Linked DNA regions of Daphnia pulex. The protein of the gene in region 1 binds, or shares a complex with, the protein of each later gene. Links are inferred from orthologs where the notes say so. Each region holds a gene or a part of one and is shown in the gene's direction. Other genes may lie near its edges. The genes, in order: kinase suppressor of Ras 2-like and dual specificity mitogen-activated protein kinase kinase 1-like.

The links.
Region 2: the proteins of kinase suppressor of Ras 2-like (region 1) and dual specificity mitogen-activated protein kinase kinase 1-like are in contact, whole or in part, in a cryo-EM structure (PDB 8BW9), measured with the Drosophila melanogaster proteins. The link is inferred for Daphnia pulex from reciprocal best matches to the Drosophila melanogaster genes ksr and Dsor1. Residues at the interface, in NP_001287177.1 of Drosophila melanogaster: Gln767, Tyr828, Asp830, Met831, Gly832, Leu833, Gly834, Val835, His837, Arg849, Ala850, Leu851, Gln852, Asp888, Gln889, Pro890, Ala891, Glu892, Ser893, Ile895, Trp896, Gln897, Gly899, Arg900; in NP_511098.1 of Drosophila melanogaster: Gly98, Gly99, Lys123, Asp236, Met238, Ala239, Asn240, Ser241, Phe242, Val243, Gly244, Thr245, Ser247, Met249, Arg253, Leu254, Gln255, Gly256, Ala310, Met311, Ala312, Ile313, Phe314, Leu317, Asp318, Val321.

Annotation. Positions count from the first base shown.
Region 1 is NC_060019.1:3,428,854-3,438,183, reverse strand, and holds kinase suppressor of Ras 2-like, read left to right. Parts: upstream 1-334; 5' UTR 335-704; coding exon 705-878; intron 879-937; coding exon 938-1,223; intron 1,224-1,284; coding exon 1,285-1,533; intron 1,534-1,594; coding exon 1,595-1,748; intron 1,749-2,177; coding exon 2,178-2,425; intron 2,426-2,496; coding exon 2,497-2,637; intron 2,638-2,712; coding exon 2,713-2,829; intron 2,830-2,904; coding exon 2,905-3,054; intron 3,055-3,140; coding exon 3,141-3,314; intron 3,315-3,383; coding exon 3,384-3,503; intron 3,504-3,596; coding exon 3,597-3,805; intron 3,806-3,872; coding exon 3,873-4,046; intron 4,047-4,119; coding exon 4,120-4,305; intron 4,306-4,394; coding exon 4,395-4,528; intron 4,529-4,599; coding exon 4,600-4,734; intron 4,735-4,804; coding exon 4,805-5,087; 3' UTR 5,088-5,447; downstream 5,448-9,330. Other genes in the region: carboxypeptidase D-like, read right to left, coding at 5,905-6,022, 6,108-6,171, 6,242-6,328, 6,411-6,739, 6,866-7,113, 7,563-7,730, 7,819-8,148.
Region 2 is NC_060027.1:2,189,162-2,199,278, forward strand, and holds dual specificity mitogen-activated protein kinase kinase 1-like, read left to right. Parts: upstream 1-7,334; 5' UTR 7,335-7,580; coding exon 7,581-7,747; intron 7,748-7,802; coding exon 7,803-8,037; intron 8,038-8,107; coding exon 8,108-8,220; intron 8,221-8,278; coding exon 8,279-8,390; intron 8,391-8,458; coding exon 8,459-8,635; intron 8,636-8,709; coding exon 8,710-8,908; intron 8,909-8,949; coding exon of another isoform or gene 8,950-8,971; coding exon 8,972-9,156; intron 9,157-9,222; coding exon 9,223-9,330; 3' UTR 9,331-10,077; downstream 10,078-10,117. Other genes in the region: alsin-like, read left to right, coding at 560-2,202, 2,276-3,072, 3,139-3,347, 3,409-3,631, 3,699-3,885, 3,946-4,831, 4,901-5,111, 5,177-5,706 and 1 more; 60S ribosomal protein L17-like, read right to left, coding at 5,964-6,167, 6,347-6,484, 6,665-6,799, 6,868-6,948. UniProt on the Drosophila melanogaster protein: Required downstream of Raf in the sevenless (sev), torso (tor), and Drosophila EGF receptor homolog (DER) signal transduction pathways.

The DNA of each region.
Region 1 (9,330 bases):
TTCCTACAGATATGTTCTATAACTTGTTAGTTTTTAAATTGATTAAACTTATTAAATTAAAAACAAACCGAAATTGTATGGAACTAAATGCACGTCGTCTTCTTAGACAAGTAAAGCGCGCCTAAAGTAACTTGACTTGACACCAATGCCAATTTAATCGATTTACAAAACTAATTCCATTTAAAATAAAATAATAAATCCATACAAATAAAATTATTCACCGTATTTTACAAGACCAAATGAATTGAACAATATTTTATAACTGATAACATTAAATCACACTAAATCTCGATTCAACACCAGTTTAATTTTTCGGACCATAGATGGCTACTACACAATGCAGAAGTACGCGGACTGTAGTGGAAAAAATGGAATAATCAGTGATTCTATTGATACTGACTGACTGTAATGTATTGCAATACATTCGCTTATGATGGCATTAGTTATTGTTGTTATGGCGTCTGCGAAATTGGAACTCTGTGCATTTTCGTTCGTTTAAACCGCTTATACACCGCGATGGATTTCTAAAACATTGGATAGTCATATAACAAAGAAGTACGGTGGGTGAGGAAGCCTTTGGAAACATGATTAGTCGGGAGTCCGAAGAGCTTTGAGTGTTGACGGTTTGCGTCTGAATAATATGCAATTTCGTACGTAAAGTTCTGCAATAACAACCAAAGTACTAGATATAGATACCCTTAAGAATGGATACTGGAATCACAAAGAAAGCTGTTGTTGTGGTCAACAGCTGTAACACCATTCAAACGCTCTTAGATATCAATGCAATGATAGACATTCATGCTAAACATCTAGAAGGGTTGAGAACCCAGTGCTCTACCAGTGCTGAGTTGATTCAACAAGAAATCAGAACCATAGAGGTAAGATGTTTACTATTTAAAAGAATTTTCTGAATTAAATCATTTCAATATTTTAACAGGGTAAACTAGTCAAATTATTCAGCAAACAGCTAGTTGCAAAAGCCAAAATTCCCATAGAGGGATTACCATATGAAGTCAAAAACATTCCGTCAATCAAGCAATGGCTTCAAGTTGTTGGAATATCTCAGCCATCTGTTGAAACCTTGTGTGCCAAATTTCAATCTCTTGAATCTTTGCAAGAACTCAGTGATCATGAAATTAAAAGGATCTTCAATGAGTGTTCTGCAAAAGAAGATGAATACAGGCGCTTGATAAGAGCACTTCAGAGTGTTAAGAGATATACTGGTAAGATATTCATTTATAAAAATGTTTAACTGATCCAACTCTAAGAGCTTTGACATTGCAGAAGTTCTGGTACATAATGAAAAGGAAGGTAATAGTGGCCGAACAACACCTGACTTAGCGCTTTACTGGGATTCCTGGGATAATGCTACAAAAATGTCAATGCCAATGTCCTCTAACATACAGCACAATGACAGTGTTATACAAAATTCATCCCCCATTCAAAGTATAATAACTGCCCATGAAACCATTCCGCAAATGACTTCGGAAAACCGCAGCCCTCCCTCTACTCCATCTTTATTAAAAGGAAGAGGTAAAATACATGGAGTCGGCTATTAACTAGCGTGGTTGAAACTAATGAAATTCCAATTTAGGAGATCGTATGAAATTCCCTGCAACTCCACCACCTCGCAAGAAAAACCAGGTTATTGGTGGTACTGCGCCACTATTGACGGATTTCCCTCTTACGAAATCTACCTCCCACGAATCCCAGCTAGCCAATAGAATCGACGGAAATGATATTATCAGGTAAAAAAAAACTATTCCTTTTATTATTCGAAAATCTGAGCGCATCAACAGTTCTAGCGAAATGTTAGAATTAATGTATATTTTAAGAAATGTCTTGGAATTGTTAAGCGAATGCACATCATCACGAAGGCTGGCGATGACAATTCTCGACCAGAAGAACTGCATCAGAAACATTTAACTGACGTTCATATATTACCTAGCATGAATACTGATTTTTTGTTCTTTATGATCTTTTTATTCATTTCCCCCATCCATGTCCTTTACTAACTAACTATGTTTCCATTACCTTCAAATTGGGTTTACATGGCTTATTGGCTTGGATTTAAATATTTTGGTAACAACATTAATCCACGTTCTACTCGTGGTAATTAAATGGCCTCGTTATTGTCGCGCGTGAATGGGTGGTGGGTGTATAACTTTTCTCTGTAGTGGTGCCAGTACTATGCTTCTGTCCCGCTTTCGTCGTACCAAACCTAACGCTTATTGGCTGGGACGTAGCATGGAACACTTGGCGGTAACTGGAAGCAGTTCTCCTGTACCAACTTCGAATAGCAATTTGCCTGGAGCCTCGCCGGCTGGTGCCGTGCCAACTTCCTCAACCCCGTCCAAAGGGCGACACCGATTGGCCACCGATCCTTGCAGCATCACAGACGACTCCAATGATGACATACCAAAATGTAATTTGCATTTTTTTCCCCTTAGCTTTTATTGTTTGTTTTTTTTCCAATGTTTCATGTTTTCTGTTTAGCAACTGTTGCGACGCCGAAATCTCCACGGACTCCCACTGTTGGCGGACCGGCCGTTATGGCTCATACCATAAATCACCGATTTACGATGACTTTCAAGATGTTGACAGTATGTGACCTCTGCTTGAAGCAAATGTTCATAGGCAAGTCTTAATGGGAAAAAATCATATCATAATACGTACCTTAAAATCATTTCTTAATTTTTTGTCTGGTTCTAGGTCTAAAATGTAAAGATTGTAAATATAAATGTCATCGGGATTGTGCCACCAAAGTACCGCCGTCCTGTAAACTTCCACCTGGCTTAATAGACTATGTTCGTCAGCGTATCAACGATGGTAAGTGATCTCCATATGTTAAGTAAGACATCGAATCTTTTTAAGTTTAGTCAATCACAAAAAACTCATCTGCAGGTCCTCAAACGCCGATCATGCAGCGAACAACTGGAATCAGTAATACGATTGGTAGTAGTACGACGTCGGTTCCGTCTCCTTCGTTGAACCGACTCACGCCACACGACAAGAAAAAGTCCAGGACACAACCTGCCATTCATATGAATCAGGGTTTGACTTCAATTTACTTTAGTTTTCTGTGCCAAACATGTGACTGGACTTCTGAAGTAAAATTTTGTTCACAATTTTCTTCATAGGAGGTGGGTCGACGTCCGGCTTTGGTCTACACTCTACACATTTTGATTCAAGTTCGACTACATCTAGCTGTAGCAGTTCAACTCCCTCAAGCCCAGCTTTAGTTCTACCTTCGCACATTTCCGCAAATCACACGCCAACTTCGGCATCACAAATCACACAATTCCGCTTTCCTGGTACTATTTAAAACTTAAAAATATGTTTCAGTCGTAATGATGTAAATTTTTACGGTCATCTAACAACAGATGTTCGCCAAGCTGATCGAGCACAAAGTGCCGAAACATTGTTATCGCCATTATCCCACGTTCCATTGTCGGCAAAGAATAGTACTTCCGTTATCAACTCTGTCACCACCCTAAGTCCAGGTACCATAATTGGTTGGAATTTTCTACATTCTAGACCGTGTTTTAAATGTGTAACGAATTTAAAATTCTTTTCTCAAAATCTTGCTTTGGCAGCATCCGGAAATCCTTCCGTCGAGAACTCAACAAGTGGACATGCATCACAAGATTCGAATAAGATTATCTCCGTGTCTGGTCTTTCTGGTACTTCGGGATCAAATTCGACGAGTACAGATTCGGAGCGCACCTACAGAGTTGATTCGCAAGACAGTCAAATCTCTGACACTGAAACATCGGGAGATCGTCATTGGCCTCGCCAAAATAGCGTTAGTGAATCAAATTTTATTTATTTGCAATTTGAAAGCAATTGTATTTGTTTTTCATTTTCATTAGCTGTCGCTTCGAGAGTGGGACATACCGTTTCACGAGCTCGAACTTGGAGATCCTATTGGTCAGGGTAGGTTTGGTACCGTTCACCGGGGCATTTGGCATGGTGATGTGGCTGTTAGACTCTTGAATATGGATCAGATTGGAGATGAGAAAGTTTTAGAATCTTTCAAACTTGAGGTAAGAAATAATAATTTTTATTTTCTCTTCACTGTTTGTGCTAATTCACATTTTTTCCCCATCTCTAATTCAGGTGGCTACCTTTCGTAAAACTCGGCATGAGAATTTAGTTTTATTTATGGGTGCATGCATGAACTTGCCAACCTTAGCGCTCGTGACGAGCATGTGTAAAGGCCTGACCTTGTATACACATCTTCACTTACGCAAAGACAAATTCAGCATGAATAAAACGGTTATTATTGCCCAGCAAATATCTCAGGTTAGTTGGTCGTCAGTGAAAGTTCTGTTGTCACTGCAATTACGCGGATTATTCATTGATGTTTCTGTTATTACTACCTACAATCTTAGGGTATGGGCTACCTTCATGCACGAGGAATCATCCATAAGGACTTAAAGTCTAAAAATATCTTTTTGGAAAATGGAAAAGTTATCATAACCGATTTTGGCCTCTTTAGCGTCTCAAAGCTTTGCAAAATCCATGGGTCAGTATACATTGAAAACATGAATTAATGTAATTTCTAATGTTGAATTATTTATTTTGATTGGATTTTAGGAGGAGTGATGCACTTAGTATTCCACCCGGTTGGCTGTGCTACATGGCGCCAGAGGTCATGCGAAGTTTAAAACCCAGTAGTGAAGAAAATGATGAGCTTCCTTTTACTATGGCCTCCGATGCTTACGCCTTTGGGTACTGCTCATATAACTGAACTATAAATGAATTGAATTTTCTCATTGGACACACACTTGATTCTATGCAGGACGGTTTGGTACGAGTTGCTGTGTGGTGAGTGGCCGTACAAGGAGCATTGCCCCGAAGCCATGATTTGGCAGATTGGCCGCGGTATGAAGCAGTCGCTTGCAAATCTTCAAGCTTCTCGTGATCTTAAGGACATTCTCATGGCATGTTGGGCCTTTAATGTCAAGGATCGGGCGGAATTCAGCAAGTTACTCAAGATACTCGAGCGATTACCCAAAAAACGTTTGCTTCGCAGTCCGTCTCATCCGGTCCATCTCTCGAGATCGGCCGAATCGGTTTTCTAATCAAATTCTTATCATTCACTAATCAGTGATTACGCAGTTTACGTATATTGCTAATTTAATCAAGAAAGATGACTATTGGAATAATTCCCGAATGATTCTTGTAAGTATATCGGCTAGTTATTTTGTCGGCCATAGCCAAAAAGAATCTGGTTTCAAAAAAATTTTCCACTAAACTCCGACATTCAGGCGAAAGAATCATTATTAAGTGAATCCTTTCGTCTTGTTGCTACTCATATTGTGCATTTTAGTAAATTAGTTGACATGTGCCGGTATGATAGTTTGTAGGCGCGCCGCTCATTTAGTCCCCGCAACCTTCCCTCTTGTTTGTGCCTGTCAATAAAGTGTTTCAGTCATTTGTAATTTGTCTTCAGATATTTTACTTTGAATTTCTGAAGTGATTATAAACATTGAATTCGCCAGCTAAAAAATGTCTTTTACATGGAAGATATTCTCATTTTTGTTCATGTCTTTATTTTATTTAAGGTGCGTTTATTTTATACATGTTCATTTTTTAATAGCCTACTGACGTAAATTGCAAAACTAAATTTCGCTCTGACTCATTACGGATGATTAAAATATCTGGGATTATTGAGTGTGAAAAATCGAGAAAAAGATGTAGCGTTAACAACAGAACTTTTTTCTCCCTGTGTATTTGATTTTCAGACCTACCACCATTTCATTTTCACCAATAAATAAAGGGTGGTTAATTTTACTGAAAAGGGCTGTTTGTTGCATGAATTCGAACATTCAATTCTTAAAAAAATTCCCGATTCCGGATGTTGAACACCGCGCTTTCCTGTTATAATTAGATATACATTTAATCGCAAATAAGGCGAGTAATGGTCGTTTGGCGAACTTTTGGCTCCAATTCAAAATTGAGTTGTTCTGTATAAATATCTGTGATTTCAATGTTTCGGCTGCTGCTTGGGTTAAATCTAAGAAACATAAAGCATTTCGAATTTAGACACCAATTAGAACATCCACCAATTTATAAATATCAAAAGTGTCTTTTAAAATTACCCTTCAGCGTAAGATTGAATGGTGTATCTGCCAGGAGTTAAGAGGCGCCAGTATTCTCCTCTTTCTGTAAGAATTAATTAAAGAATGAATTGAATTACGTCCTCATTGAATCTTAAACCTGAGTAGAAAAGTACCTGTAGTGGTGATGTTTTTGTCAATTCCAAAAACGTGAACGTAAGCATTTCTGATCGGTCGCTTTGTATCCTTGTCAACGACCAAACCTATAATCATCTCATTTTTCATTAAATATGTCTGGTTTCATATACAATCTGAACCATTTACAGAAAATAAAACAATACACACCTCGCACTCCACGATGGGTAGATGCAATGTAGTTTAGGAGAGGTCTACGATTATATTGCCATTCCGCTGGCAATTCCGTAGCCGGAGCGTATTTACAGCAGGACAACTCCAGTGTAACTTCGAACGCATTTGAGTGGACGTAGTTGAAATCCTGCATGCCGCCTTTCAAGTCGTACCAGTACGCTCCGTTAGTAATTCCGTCTTTGAATCCCACACCACATGTGTCGGCTTTTTTCATTAAAGGATGGCGGTCAGCGTAATCTTGAGAGAGCTTGCGGAATACTTTGTCGTCTGGGGCAGCACTATAAAATCCCTGGTGTTGACCAGTACTGTAAATCATACAGTTAAAAATAGGAAAACAACATTTATTATTGAATCTTAAAATAATTTTGGGAAATCTGTGAATATTTAGGTTAATCGAGGAGTTGATGAACTTAAAAAATTAAGTTATTTACCCGGAACCATCATAAGGATAACTGGCCACGACGGCTCCTCCGTGTAAACTTGCGGAGAGGACGAATGGATTGTCCAAAATCCATTTGATAACGGCTTGAGTTTCAGAAGCTCTACCTTGTTGAAATTCGCTTTGGCTTCTTAATAATTTGTCTTCAGTTTTGAATTGATCGGGGAAATCCCGATTGAGATCAATGTTATTAGCATTCAGACGGCCTCCCTCCGGTCCGCCTGACCAGCAATCACCTTCCTGTTCAAATAAAACAATATTTTCTTAACGACTGCATTAGGAATAATTATCCAACAATAAATCTGGAATAGAATATTCATTGATCTATTTTTAAAAATTTTCTAATTTCAGAATGAAAGTTTAGTTATTTTTGTAACCGTCTAATACTCTAATTTATTTCGCTTCTCTCTCTCTTGACCTTTTTTTGTAATTTATTCCGTTATTCTCGTTCTGTCAAGACTGTAAAATCAACTCTGGTGAAAGTATGTTCAGATTAATTGCGATGAAATCATTTTGCGCGTATACGCTTGAATGCTGTTTCAGCAGCGAAACGTAAATTTCATGCCTCTTTAGGGTTTAAATATGAGATCAGGGTGCTTAGTTAATCCATTTCATGGCGTGTAGTGAAAAGAGGGCCATTTCGCTTTCCATCAAGACAAAATGCAGCAAAAAAACAAAAAGTTGCATACCCGAGCTTTAACGAAGCCATCAGGATTCATTGAGGGGAGAAAGAAGATATCGGTGGTGTTCAACAGACGAGTAATTTTTGAATCGACATTGTTTTTTTGAATCAAGTGAGAGATGGTGCGAAGCAACAATTGGCGACCGACAACTTCATTTCCGTGGATGTTACCAACCTGGTGAGTATATCAAAGTAAATTTTGGTCACGAGCGTACAAAATCTTTAATTCAATTTACAAAAAAATCGACAAAGAAAACACCTACCAATTTCACCATGGGCATAAGAAGATCACGTTCACCTCGTTCAACCGAATGACTCAATTCTAACACAAGGAGTTCGCGACCCTGCTCGCTCTTGCCAATCGAAAAAGCTTTGGCAATTTTCGGATGACGACGAGCTACGCTCCGAAGCCAGGTAATCATTTCCTCGTGAGTTAAGTAACGATCGGCGGGCACGAAATCGTCGGTTTCGGGATTGAAATCATCATTCCCCGTTTTCTTTGTCTCAGACTCAGACGGTGTGGGCAAACTAAGCACGGCCAACACCAGGGTACTTAAAACTAACAAGCGCGACCAAATAACACGGCCGACCATGATTTGTATTCGAAGGCGACTGGTTTAGTCGACGAACTGCGCTCAACTAAGTATACTTGGGTGAGAGCGAACGTGATTACCTTGCTGGTAAGAGAAGAGCGCGGCGCGATGTGAGACGACTCACCTGTTGGGTTTCAACCTTGAACACGTCTGTCGTTCTGTTTTATCACGAGTGTAACGTCTTGGCTAAGGGGCATGGAACCCCACAGAGAAATAGTTCCTATTATACATACGTCGAAGAGCGAAGGAATCTTCAGGGTGACTTGAGGCTTCGTTGCCAACCACTCAGCCGGCACAATACAAAGAGAAATCCATATTTGCGTATCCGACATTTGCTGTCACTTCGTGAAGATTTAACCGTTTCGGGCTTTGGTTGAAACCTGCAACGATGCTCCGGACTTGTTTGAGGAACACTGACTTGCATTCAGAACAGGACATTCAACTGATTTGTGGTCAAGACAAGGGGAGAATTTGTTGACCTTGGACATCAATAGGCTCCTACCTGACGAAGAATTTTCTATCCTTTGTGTTTTTTTCTTTGCACGCATATTTACCATTTAAGTCGAAGTCAAACGAAGGGGCTTTCGTGAAAACAAAACAAAGGGTCGAGAAACACTTTTGTTACGGTTTTTTTTAACCAGTTTTACCGTTAGCATACAAAGATGAACTGATGAGAATATGTAAACTTCGATAAATATCATGAAATAATAACAGTTATAGGAACTGGTATTAGGGTAGAGCTTTCTTTGTATGCATTATATTACACGGTTTACACCTGTGTAACCTTCAAAAGGGTTTAATCTCATGCATGTTCAAAAACGATAGCGGGTTGATGCCATAGCATCTATAGCCGAGGGCGTTTACATTTTTTTCTTTTTCGAATGTTTAGAAGAGTCAAAGCGCTGCTCTGGTTGAACTCTATCAAATCATGTGTTACCTTCGGTTATGTCTCATTTAATGATTTTCTTACTAAAAACGACGTTTATTTAAAGAATTATTATTTTTAAATATTATTATTTTTAAATATTATTATTTTCTCTAGTTGTAGCATGATAGATTATTAGTAGCGCAGAATAGTTAATTTTTCTTAATTTTAGGGGACAATGGAATAATTTGAATAGATCGCAATTTCTTTGTTACGAACCATACTTGATGGGAGATTATTTCTATTTGGCGAGAATC
Region 2 (10,117 bases), on another chromosome or scaffold:
TGTGTGTGTCTCCTTCCTATATCACCTCGCCCGGAATATCCATCGCCGTAGAGTATCTTAACGTTGTGTGTTTCTGTTTTAGCTTCACTATAGACATTATAGAGAGAAATATTACTTTAATAACTCCCGTCTACCATTTGCGGTCATTCTTATCCGATTCTCAAAAAGTATCATGCAATTCCGGTTAAGAAAATCGACAACTACTGGAAGACGGGCGGGGAAACAACATACGAAAAATCCCCCTCCCCTCATAATCCCTCAAGCCGTCATAGGCGTATTTGTGAAGAAGAAAAAAGATAATTGGCCAAATGTGTGTGTTGTAAAGGACAAATACCAATACAGATTATATATACTACCTAACAAACAGATGATGATTTTCTTTGAAAACGGATTAGCGATCTAGAGAGAATTGAAATCTTATCGCTAGATGGCTCAGTCCTTCTATCAAACACAGCTGAGAAAAAGGGGATGTTATGATTACTCTGTATGGTGCGGTTGTTTTCGTTGGTAGGTGTTAAAGTTTCTTCTCTGGTGTAGCGATCCAGGAAAGAAACCAAAAATGAGTGAATCTGCGAATGTGATAGCCTGGGAAGAAGGCGAACCAGCTGCAGCACTTTTGGCACCGGAACAAGCCATGACGGCCGTTGTTTCGTCAAGGCTCGGACAAGTGTTCTTTCTGACTGAAGACGGCAGAGTGTACCTGTCGACTCTCAAACAAGATGGATTGAGTGGGAAATTGCAAGAGTTGGCACTTCCTTGCCAGACTGTGGTTGGTATTGCATGCAATTCGATACACACCATTTTTGTGACTGATCGGGGTAGAGTTTTGAGGTCTGAATTAGAAACCCCTGAAAAAGTAGAGGAGCTGGCCATCAAGCAACCAAATCTCTGCTGCCCTCATGGTGTTGTAGAAGACGGAGGAAGACTCTTTGTAAGAGAAGTTTCTTCCCACTCAAAAAACTTGTTGTTCATCTCAGATTCGGGCAAAGTATGGGCAGTGGATGAAAGCAAGTCGTTGTTGCCAGATAAATTGCCAGCCTTCGAGAACAAAGTACCCATAAGTATTATGTGTGGTAGCAACTTTAGCACCGCTCTCATCCAAGACTGTGAAAATTCTAACGATGATAGTATCAGCAAGCCTGGTGTAGCAAATTCTAGCAAAAGCAGCAGGGATTCCTTGGACAAAGCAAACTCATCAAAGGAAGGTCCTTTGGATGGATTGTGCATGGTTGGTTCCTGTCTAGAGTGTAGAGAGCAAAGTCTTTTGTCTCTGCACACGCTGGATCTCAACGACTCTCAACGAATGAACCAGGAAGATTTCAAAGACAATGTCAACTCTCTAGCTCAAGTTTGCTGGTCCAAGGCAGATCATCTAGTCCGTCAAAGCGCTTTGTTGCTCAACTCGACGCCCCAACTCGACGCGGCCAAACAGTTTTTAACGAAGCAGCTATCGTGGGTCACCGGGTCCGAATCGGATGACTGTAACAATAGTCCAGGAGCGGCGTCATCGTTAGAAAGTGGCAATAACGTGACTCAACAGGTGGCCAGCCGAGTTGTGGAAGGAGTCCGAAACTTGGGCGATGCCGTCAACCGCATGTCTCGGCATTGGAGCGGAACCAGCCAAGAGGAAACTCCATCCGTTCCAGCTGCATCAGCTCCTGTCGAAGTTGCCGGCAGTGAAACGCTTAGTCTACCAGCCGCTTTGCCCAGTAGTAGCAGCGGTGAGGATTCACCCGCAGCACCGGCAACACCTCGATTTATCGTCCGACAGTCGCTTCAGAGTCATCATCGGTGGAAACGCAATGGATCGTCAAGTTTATCCCTCGATTCGACGCTTGTCCGGATGACAGATCGAGAAAAATCTACCGGACTTCAACCGGATCGTCTCGTTTCGTTGGGAAGGCAACTACTTTTTACGTCTGTCTGGACGTGGGGTCAAGGAGGAGTCGGCCAGCTCGGACTATCAGATTGCGTCTCACGCGAAGTCCCCCAAACTGTCCGTCCTCTACTTGGCATAGGCATCTGTAAAGTGGTGTGCGGTTCACGGCATTCATTGGCCCTCACGTTGGATGGGCGTGTACTGGCGTGGGGAGCTAATAACAAAGGACAAGTCGAGCCCGGTGAAGACCTATCTTTCATGTCAGTCCCGACAGAAGTATCCTTACCTTTCCGTACTACCATCCGAGATATTGCGGCCGGAAGGTATACATCAATTTCAATCCAATTGTCTCTATAATTTATTGTTGGCTCATTTTCCTTTTATTTTTTACTACAGAGAACATTCGTTATTGCTGACGAGTCACGGCGAAGTGCTTTTTATGGGATTCTCAATGGCCACTCAAAAGTCCACATTGATGAGATTAAATCTACCGGCCCAAAGCCCGACTGGTAGACCGAGTCGAGTATGGGCTACCGGACCACTTAGTTGTTGTTTGCGCTGCAATCAGAGCTGCCCCTGCTGGCCCCATTGGTCCGAGTTTGTTTTATCAGAACAGCTATTTTTAAGAAATTGCCTGAAAGTCGTCCGTGGCATTTTTGATCATTTGGAATCCGCAACAACATCAACATCAACTACCTCAACCGTCCGTCGAGAGTTGTTCGATCGATACCGAGACTTGATGGCTTGCACGGCCGTCAATGTTCACTCGCTGATCGAATCGGACAATTGTGCCAACCTCAGTATTGGTCTCGTTCGTTGGATTAATGAATTCATGCACGTTTGGCGTGGTTACGGTCAGGCCCTCTGTAACGCCACTGTCGTCCATGCGCTCACACTCAACAAGACCGAAAATGCACTTTTAGATCCAGAATATATCCAACAGGGAAGCGTCGGTCGAGCCGGCAGTGATATCCTGACCACATTGATGAACGAGCCTCTAGGACGACTCAAAGATTATTCATCACAACTGGAGAAAATGATTGAAAGTCATCTTCAACGAAACGATAAAAACATCGATTGTTATAAACATGCTAGTCAACAATGTTCAAATATTGCTGCCGATTTGATGCAGGATTGTCAAACAGCAGATCTCACTAAGACCTTCTGGGATAGTTGTTCCACGAAACTAATGGGTACTACCGTTTAAATTTAAAATTTGTTTTTACTGAATTAGTAAATCATTTATATTTCCGGTTTAGATGCTTTGAGAACTCCAGTCCGTCGTCTGATCCGTGAATCCCGAACTCACCCCATTACTCTGGTTAATTCCGGTCGCTTTTCATCGCATTGGTTCATTATCTTAACTGACGTGCTTGTCCACGTCAGCGGATCATCTAATCATGTCACATATCCATTGGCCACTATTTGGGTCGAGCCGATGCAAGATAGCGATAACATCCAGACCAAGGTATCATCCAAATATTTAATAAACATTAATGTTGACTCATTCTTAGAATGGTTTATTGTAGAATGGACTTTCATTAACGATGCCGGAAGAGACCATGACGCTGGCTTGTCCAACTGCCGGTGACAAGATGGAATGGCTGGTAGCTCTTCAATCTGCCATCAGGCATGCGCTTTTAATTGACGATGTAGGATCCAGCAGTAGCGGACGAACTACGCCACCACTTGTACGGTCCGCCTCATATACTTTTACCAAGTTGCCTCATTTGAAGGATGTCACGTACAAAGGTGAGTCATGCGACACAAAAAGACTACAAATTTTCTAGAATGAAATGAACACGTTTTCCATCGGCAGGGGCTTGGTTGTGTGGCAAAATGCATGGAGAGGGTGAATTAAACTGGCCAGACGGCCGGGTTTACAAAGGAAGTTTTCGGCAGAACCAGCAGTACGGATATGGTTCTTCAGAATCATTTGGCCCCAACGGCTCTACTTATGAAGGCAGCTGGAAGGATGGCAAGATGAACGGATACGGCATTCTCAAGTATAACGAGGTTTCCAGTTACAAGGGATCATTCATTAAAAAACTGCTTTTGAAATTCAGATACGCCAACGGAGATGTTTACGAAGGAAACTTTCAAGACGGCCAACCGCATGGACACGGTACGCTCAAACGAGGTCATTTTCTCACCTCTGCCGCACATGTCTACGTTGGCCAATGGGAAGCTGGGCAAAAGTGTGGCTACGGAGTCATGGACGACATCGTCACTGGTGAAAAGTACATGGGAATGTGGCAAGCGGACGCCAGGCATGGTCAAGCTGTTCTAGTTACTTTGGACGGTCTCTACATTGAAGGCAGCTTTACCAATAACAAGATGACTGGGCAGTGCGTCATGTTATTAGAAGACGGAACGAGCTACGAAGGTGAAGTGGCTGGCGTGGGTATTCTTGGCGGCAAGGGCCTCCTTCAGTTCCCAAACGGTGATATTATTCAGGGTACTTTTCACGGCTCTTGGTCTGATGGAATTAAAATCAACGCCACCTTGACCAAAAATTCTTTAACTGCACAATCACCATTGAGTCCACCTTCCGGACTGTCCATTGGCCATTTTCAACAACAAAACGGATCAGGTGTTCCAGCCGAACGAAAATGGGGGGCCATTTTCCAACAATGCTGCTCAACTCTTGGTCTTTCTCCGAATTGCACGCAATGGACAGCCGATGATTCACTTCGTGCTTGGGACCAGATTGCAGCTGTGCTTAATCAATGTAAACAGAGAACAACCAACGACCATCATATCCGCCCGAAGATACAACACCATCGTCGCCAGGGATCGTCTATTTCGTCCAAGTCAATCAAGTCCGAAAGATTAGCTTCCGCTCAACCAGTATCCGTAGAAATCCCCGAAATTCTTCAGCATATCCCAGACTACGGACGAAATCAGCTTAATGGCGACGAGTTTGTCAAGATAGAAACTTATTTACATATGGTATTGAATTGATTCTCTTGTTTTATTATTGGTGCACTTGGAAACTTTTTTACTTTGCTCCAATTACAGGCTTTAGAATCAGAGATCCATCCATTAGGAAAATTAGCAGCCCAGATAGGAGATGTCTATCGAGCTACTTACGTCGGAGTGGGTGCCCACCCTCGACTTCTACCTCATGCAGTTTCAGAAGTTCACTCGTTTGTTAGCCGTGTTTATGCTTTTGTCCGGCTTCTCTTCCCAGCTCTTCCAGAAGACCGTGCTGTTCATCTGATTCCAAATGGTATGTACAGTCACACACATAAGAAAAAATCAAAAGACTTAAAGATAAAATTTTGTTGATGACAGAACCGTCGAACGATCATCCACAAGAATTGCAGGCCGTGGTTTCAGCCAATACTCTACTTCTGCCCGTACTTTTACCCCGACTCTATCCTCCACTTTACACTCTGTACGTTCTACACAACCAAAAGTTGGACGATCTTTATTGGGAACGACTTCAAAAATGGAATCGACAATCAGATTCGGCTCTAATGAATTTTCTGGGAGTCGATCCCAAGTTTTTTATCGAGGAAGTTGCTCCGGAAGGAAGTCACTTTCCAACAGCTGTAGATTGTCTACAACAGCTGAGTACTACATTTTCTCCTGGGAAGAAGCTCCAAGTTATTCACCAGACATTCCAAGAAGTCAGTCGTTCGGTACAGGCACATTTAGGAGCTGATTATGTCATGAACATGGATGATCTCTTCCCGGTATTTCTTTTCGTCGTTGTTCGTTCGAGAATTCGTCATCTCGGCACAGAGATTCATCTAATAGAGGATTTCATCGATAAGAATGTGCAAAATGGCGAACTAGATGTCATGTTTACTACACTGGAGGTATATATTTTTCTTTAGTTAAATACTTTTTTTTTTTACTAAAATTTTATGTTATTTTGCTAGGCTTCCTACCAGTACATTCAGCATGAGAAGATGACCTTTAATTGAAATCAGAATCAAATTATTTTAAGCGTTCGTTGTCAATCGCAATAAATATAATTATCGTGGTAAACAGAAAATAACAATTTTAATTCGAGCGTCACCAACGTTGTATTTCAGGCAACACAAAGGGTTAACAAAGTGTTTACAGGAAAAGTTTATTCCCTCTGGGACAACTTTTGGCGAGCCAACTTCTTCTTTGAAACCTTCTTTTTGTTGGTAACTTCCTCCTCCTTGACTTTGGAAACAATGTCTTCCTTCTCAGCCAGGATGACTTCCATGTGGCAAGGGCTGCTCATGTATGGGTTGATTCTTCCGTGAGCACGGTATGTTCGCCGACGCATGTATGGAGCACGGTTAATCTGTAAAACAGAGAAGTAATTTTAGACAACTCCTCTTTAAACTTGAAAATGAATTGACAATTCAATTTAAGTCAGATCCGTCTTGAAACATTGCAATCTGTCAGCTAGTAGTCTAGAATGCTTAGGGTTATAATCACACTATTTTGAAAAAAACTTTACACTATGATTCACTCCTGTACCTGAATGTGATCGATGACCAAGTGATCAACATCTAGACCCTTGAGGTCAGCATTGGACTCAGCATTCTTCAACAACTGCAGAAGGAACTCTGCAGACTTCTTGGGCCAACGTCCCTGGGTGGTACCCCATTGTTTAGCCTGCAAAGCAAAACATAGAGATTAGACTCCAAATAGTGGAAAGGCAACACGTTGAATCTTTCTTTAATGTCAGATCCGTCTTGAAACATTGCAATCTGTCAGCACTTTGTCTAGAATGCTTGGAGTTATAATCACACAATTTGGTCAATTTAATTCATACAAAAGAAATGAGCTACTAACCTGAGCACACCGGCCGACACCTCCGTTGTAACGACGGAATGGAACACACTCCTTATGCTGGATGACGTTCTTGAGGAAAGCAACAGCCCTCTTCAATGGCATACGCTTAATGGTGTTGGCAGCCTCCCTCGTGTTCTATTCAATCAAATTCAAGTCGTACGTTAAGAAACTTTCACAAGCGCGAGTATATGTTAAAACAATACCTTGAAGTGAACGCGGAGGTTGGAGCCCCTAGCCTTGCATGACTTGGTCGGGTTGTCCGGTTCACGCGAATATCGACCCATTTCTACACAAAATTGAACAGTTTAATGTAACACACGATAAAAACGTAATTTAATGGATCAACAAAGAACCACGACAAGTTAAAGATGTTTTAAATATCTTTGGATAACAGAAAGAGAACTCTCGTTGACTTACTTCAGAAGTGTTTGAGGGTACAAGAGAAACACCGAACCAAGAAAGAGGACTAAGGTTAACTCCTCTCTCTGCCAATAGGTGGATTCCGCTTCCATAGGGTGCGTTCTTAAATTTTCGTGAATATAATCAATTTTACAATTTTTAAAATTATTGTCGCAATTGTGAAATGTAAATATATTTATTATTTTTCAAAATAAAATAAATGTCAGTTTGCAAATATAATGGAAATGTGTGTTGAAATATTAAAAATTGCAACTACGGATTGTCCGAGGGTTGACTCTTGTCAAAACTTTTTCGCTGAACAATTTTGCAATTCTGATCTGTTGATATAGCCAGCCTACTTGTTTATTCGTGTTTGAGTTCCGCCAATAAGTTTTCTTTTGATGCATTTTTTTATATAGAGAAGGAACTGGAAGAACTTTTACTGTCATCATAAGCTGAGCGAGTTCATTTTAGTTGTAAAGCTTACGAATTTCATACATCGGAAACGAAAGGCAAAATGTCAAAAAACAAATTCAATTTAACTCTTCCTCCTGTGGAACCAGACCCAGTCTCCACCCCCAGTCCTGGAGAAACATCAGGAAGGAGTAATAACATAGCAGCAGCTATTAACTCTGCCAAATCAATGACACAGACCAGTAGTGTAGTTATACATTCTGGAATTGAGTAAGTTCACTATAAACACCAAGTTGTCATCCTCAATGATGTACATTTTTCACAGTAGCGGAAATACAACCATGGGAAATACAACATTAGAGGCTTTGCAAAAACAGCTGGAGGAACTTGATATTGATGAACTTCAACGACAGAGATTGCACAAGTTTCTCTCACAAAAGCAAGAAGTTGGTGAACTGACAGATGATGATTTTGATAAGCTTGGTGAACTAGGTGCCGGAAATGGGGGTGTAGTCACCAAAGTCAGACATCGTCCTTCTGGATTGATCATGGCCAGAAAGGTAATACCAACAGCAGAAAAAATTTAAGTGGTTTTTTTTTAACACAGATGTTTTATTTATGTTTCCCTAGTTGATACATCTTGAAGTGAAACCTGCCATTAAGAAGCAAATAATTAGAGAGCTAAAGGTGCTTCATGAGTGCAATTCACCTCATATTGTTGGGTTCTATGGAGCATTCTACAGGTACCTAATTTAAAACTTTCCCAAATGCATTTGTTAACTTTGGTTTAATTTTTTGTAGTGATGGTGAAATAAGTATTTGCATGGAATACATGGATGGAGGATCATTAGACTTGATCCTGAAAAAAGCGGGTCGTATTCCAGAACAATATCTAGGGAAGATAACAATTGCTGTAAGATGATCTAAAATTAATACTTAATCTATTAAAGGGTTCGAAATAAGAAAAGCTTTTTTGCTTAGGTTTTGAAAGGGTTGAGTTATCTTCGAGACAAACATCAAATTATACATCGCGATGTTAAACCAAGCAACATTCTGGTCAACAGTCGAGGAGAGATCAAAATTTGTGACTTTGGAGTGTCTGGTCAGCTTATTGACTCCATGGCTAACTCATTTGTAGGAACGAGAAGTTACATGTCGGTACGTCGTCTTTAAATAAGTTTAGAAAAGTCATTTTCACTTCGAAATACCATTAAAATGTATTTTTCTGCTAGCCGGAACGATTACAAGGAACACACTATTCGATTCAGAGTGATGTCTGGTCTCTTGGGCTGTCGTTAGTTGAAATGGCCATTGGCATGTACCCTATCCCCCCACCTGATCCACAGGTATTGGCCAACATTTTTGGTGCAAAATTCAGCGAAGATCCTGAGAACATGACTCCGTCTCCTAGCAGTCGATCGCCTCGACAAAGTAATAATCCATTGTTTTTCGCATTTCTTTCAAATGCTTAGAGATCCGTTCTTGAAACCGCAGGCCAATTTCCTGGAGGAGTCGGCAATGGCCCTAGGCCGATGGCGATATTTGAGCTTTTGGATTACATTGTCAATGAACCACCTCCCAAACTACCGTCCGGCGTTTTCTCTGTGGAATTCAAAGATTTTGTCGATCGGTGTCTCAAGAAAAATCCGGCTGAACGACCCGCTCTACGTACACTAATGGTCTGTTCCACAATTTTTTTTTTGTTTTTTTCTGATGTAGTTATTAAATCATTATTCTGTTCTTAGGGTCACGAATGGGTAAAAAAATGGACCTCTGAAAACGTGGAGATAGCTGGTTGGGTATGCAAGATCATCGATTTACAGCCTTCCACACCCACTAAACATCCCGAATAAATTTGTTTATTTTTTTTCTCTCCATCTGATAAACTTTAACAACTTTATTGTTAAAAGAAAGTCCATTTTTTTCTTCTTGTGCTTTTTCTAACTAAAAAAATCTTGGAAGATTACATTGGCGTTCACACACTATCCATCCAACAGTAGCACCCCAAGTCCTTGGGCTGGAAAATCTTCTGTTTCGTTTCGAGGATTCTATTTACTTGTCTACTCATCCGCCCAATTTACCACAGGGTAAGTGGATGTATTGTTTGTTTTGTTTCTTCTTTTCCAAATTTTCAGTCATAGAATTTCTGTGCGCTGCTGTGACATACGACGCGATCATACGCACAAAGTCGATCCAGCATTCTTCCAATGTGTATCTACTCTTTGTTTTCCCCGCCACACTCCAATCTTTTTGTCAAACCGTGAAGCTGCATAGTTAACAATCAAGATGAATTTTTCATCTTTGGTGTCAAGGCTTTGGAAAGAAAAGATGAGGAGGTTGGAATTTTCTTGTTGACGATTTTGGAGCGTTGTGGACTCACCCAAAACGAACATTCCAAGTTATCCTCCTATTCTTTCTTTTTCTACAATCTTCCTGGCCCGCGCCGTTTATTAGTTGCAATTTCTTTCTTTATTCTATTTCCCATCCCTTCTTTTAATGTATAGAAGAGAAGAAAAAAAAATCTGTGTCAACTCGTGGAAGAAATTGTCGCCATTGTGTGTGCTGTTGGACTCGGCAGAGTAAAGATGGTCCAGAGCTAATTGTTTAGTTTTTTTTTGTTTTTCTTTTCTTTGCTTTGAA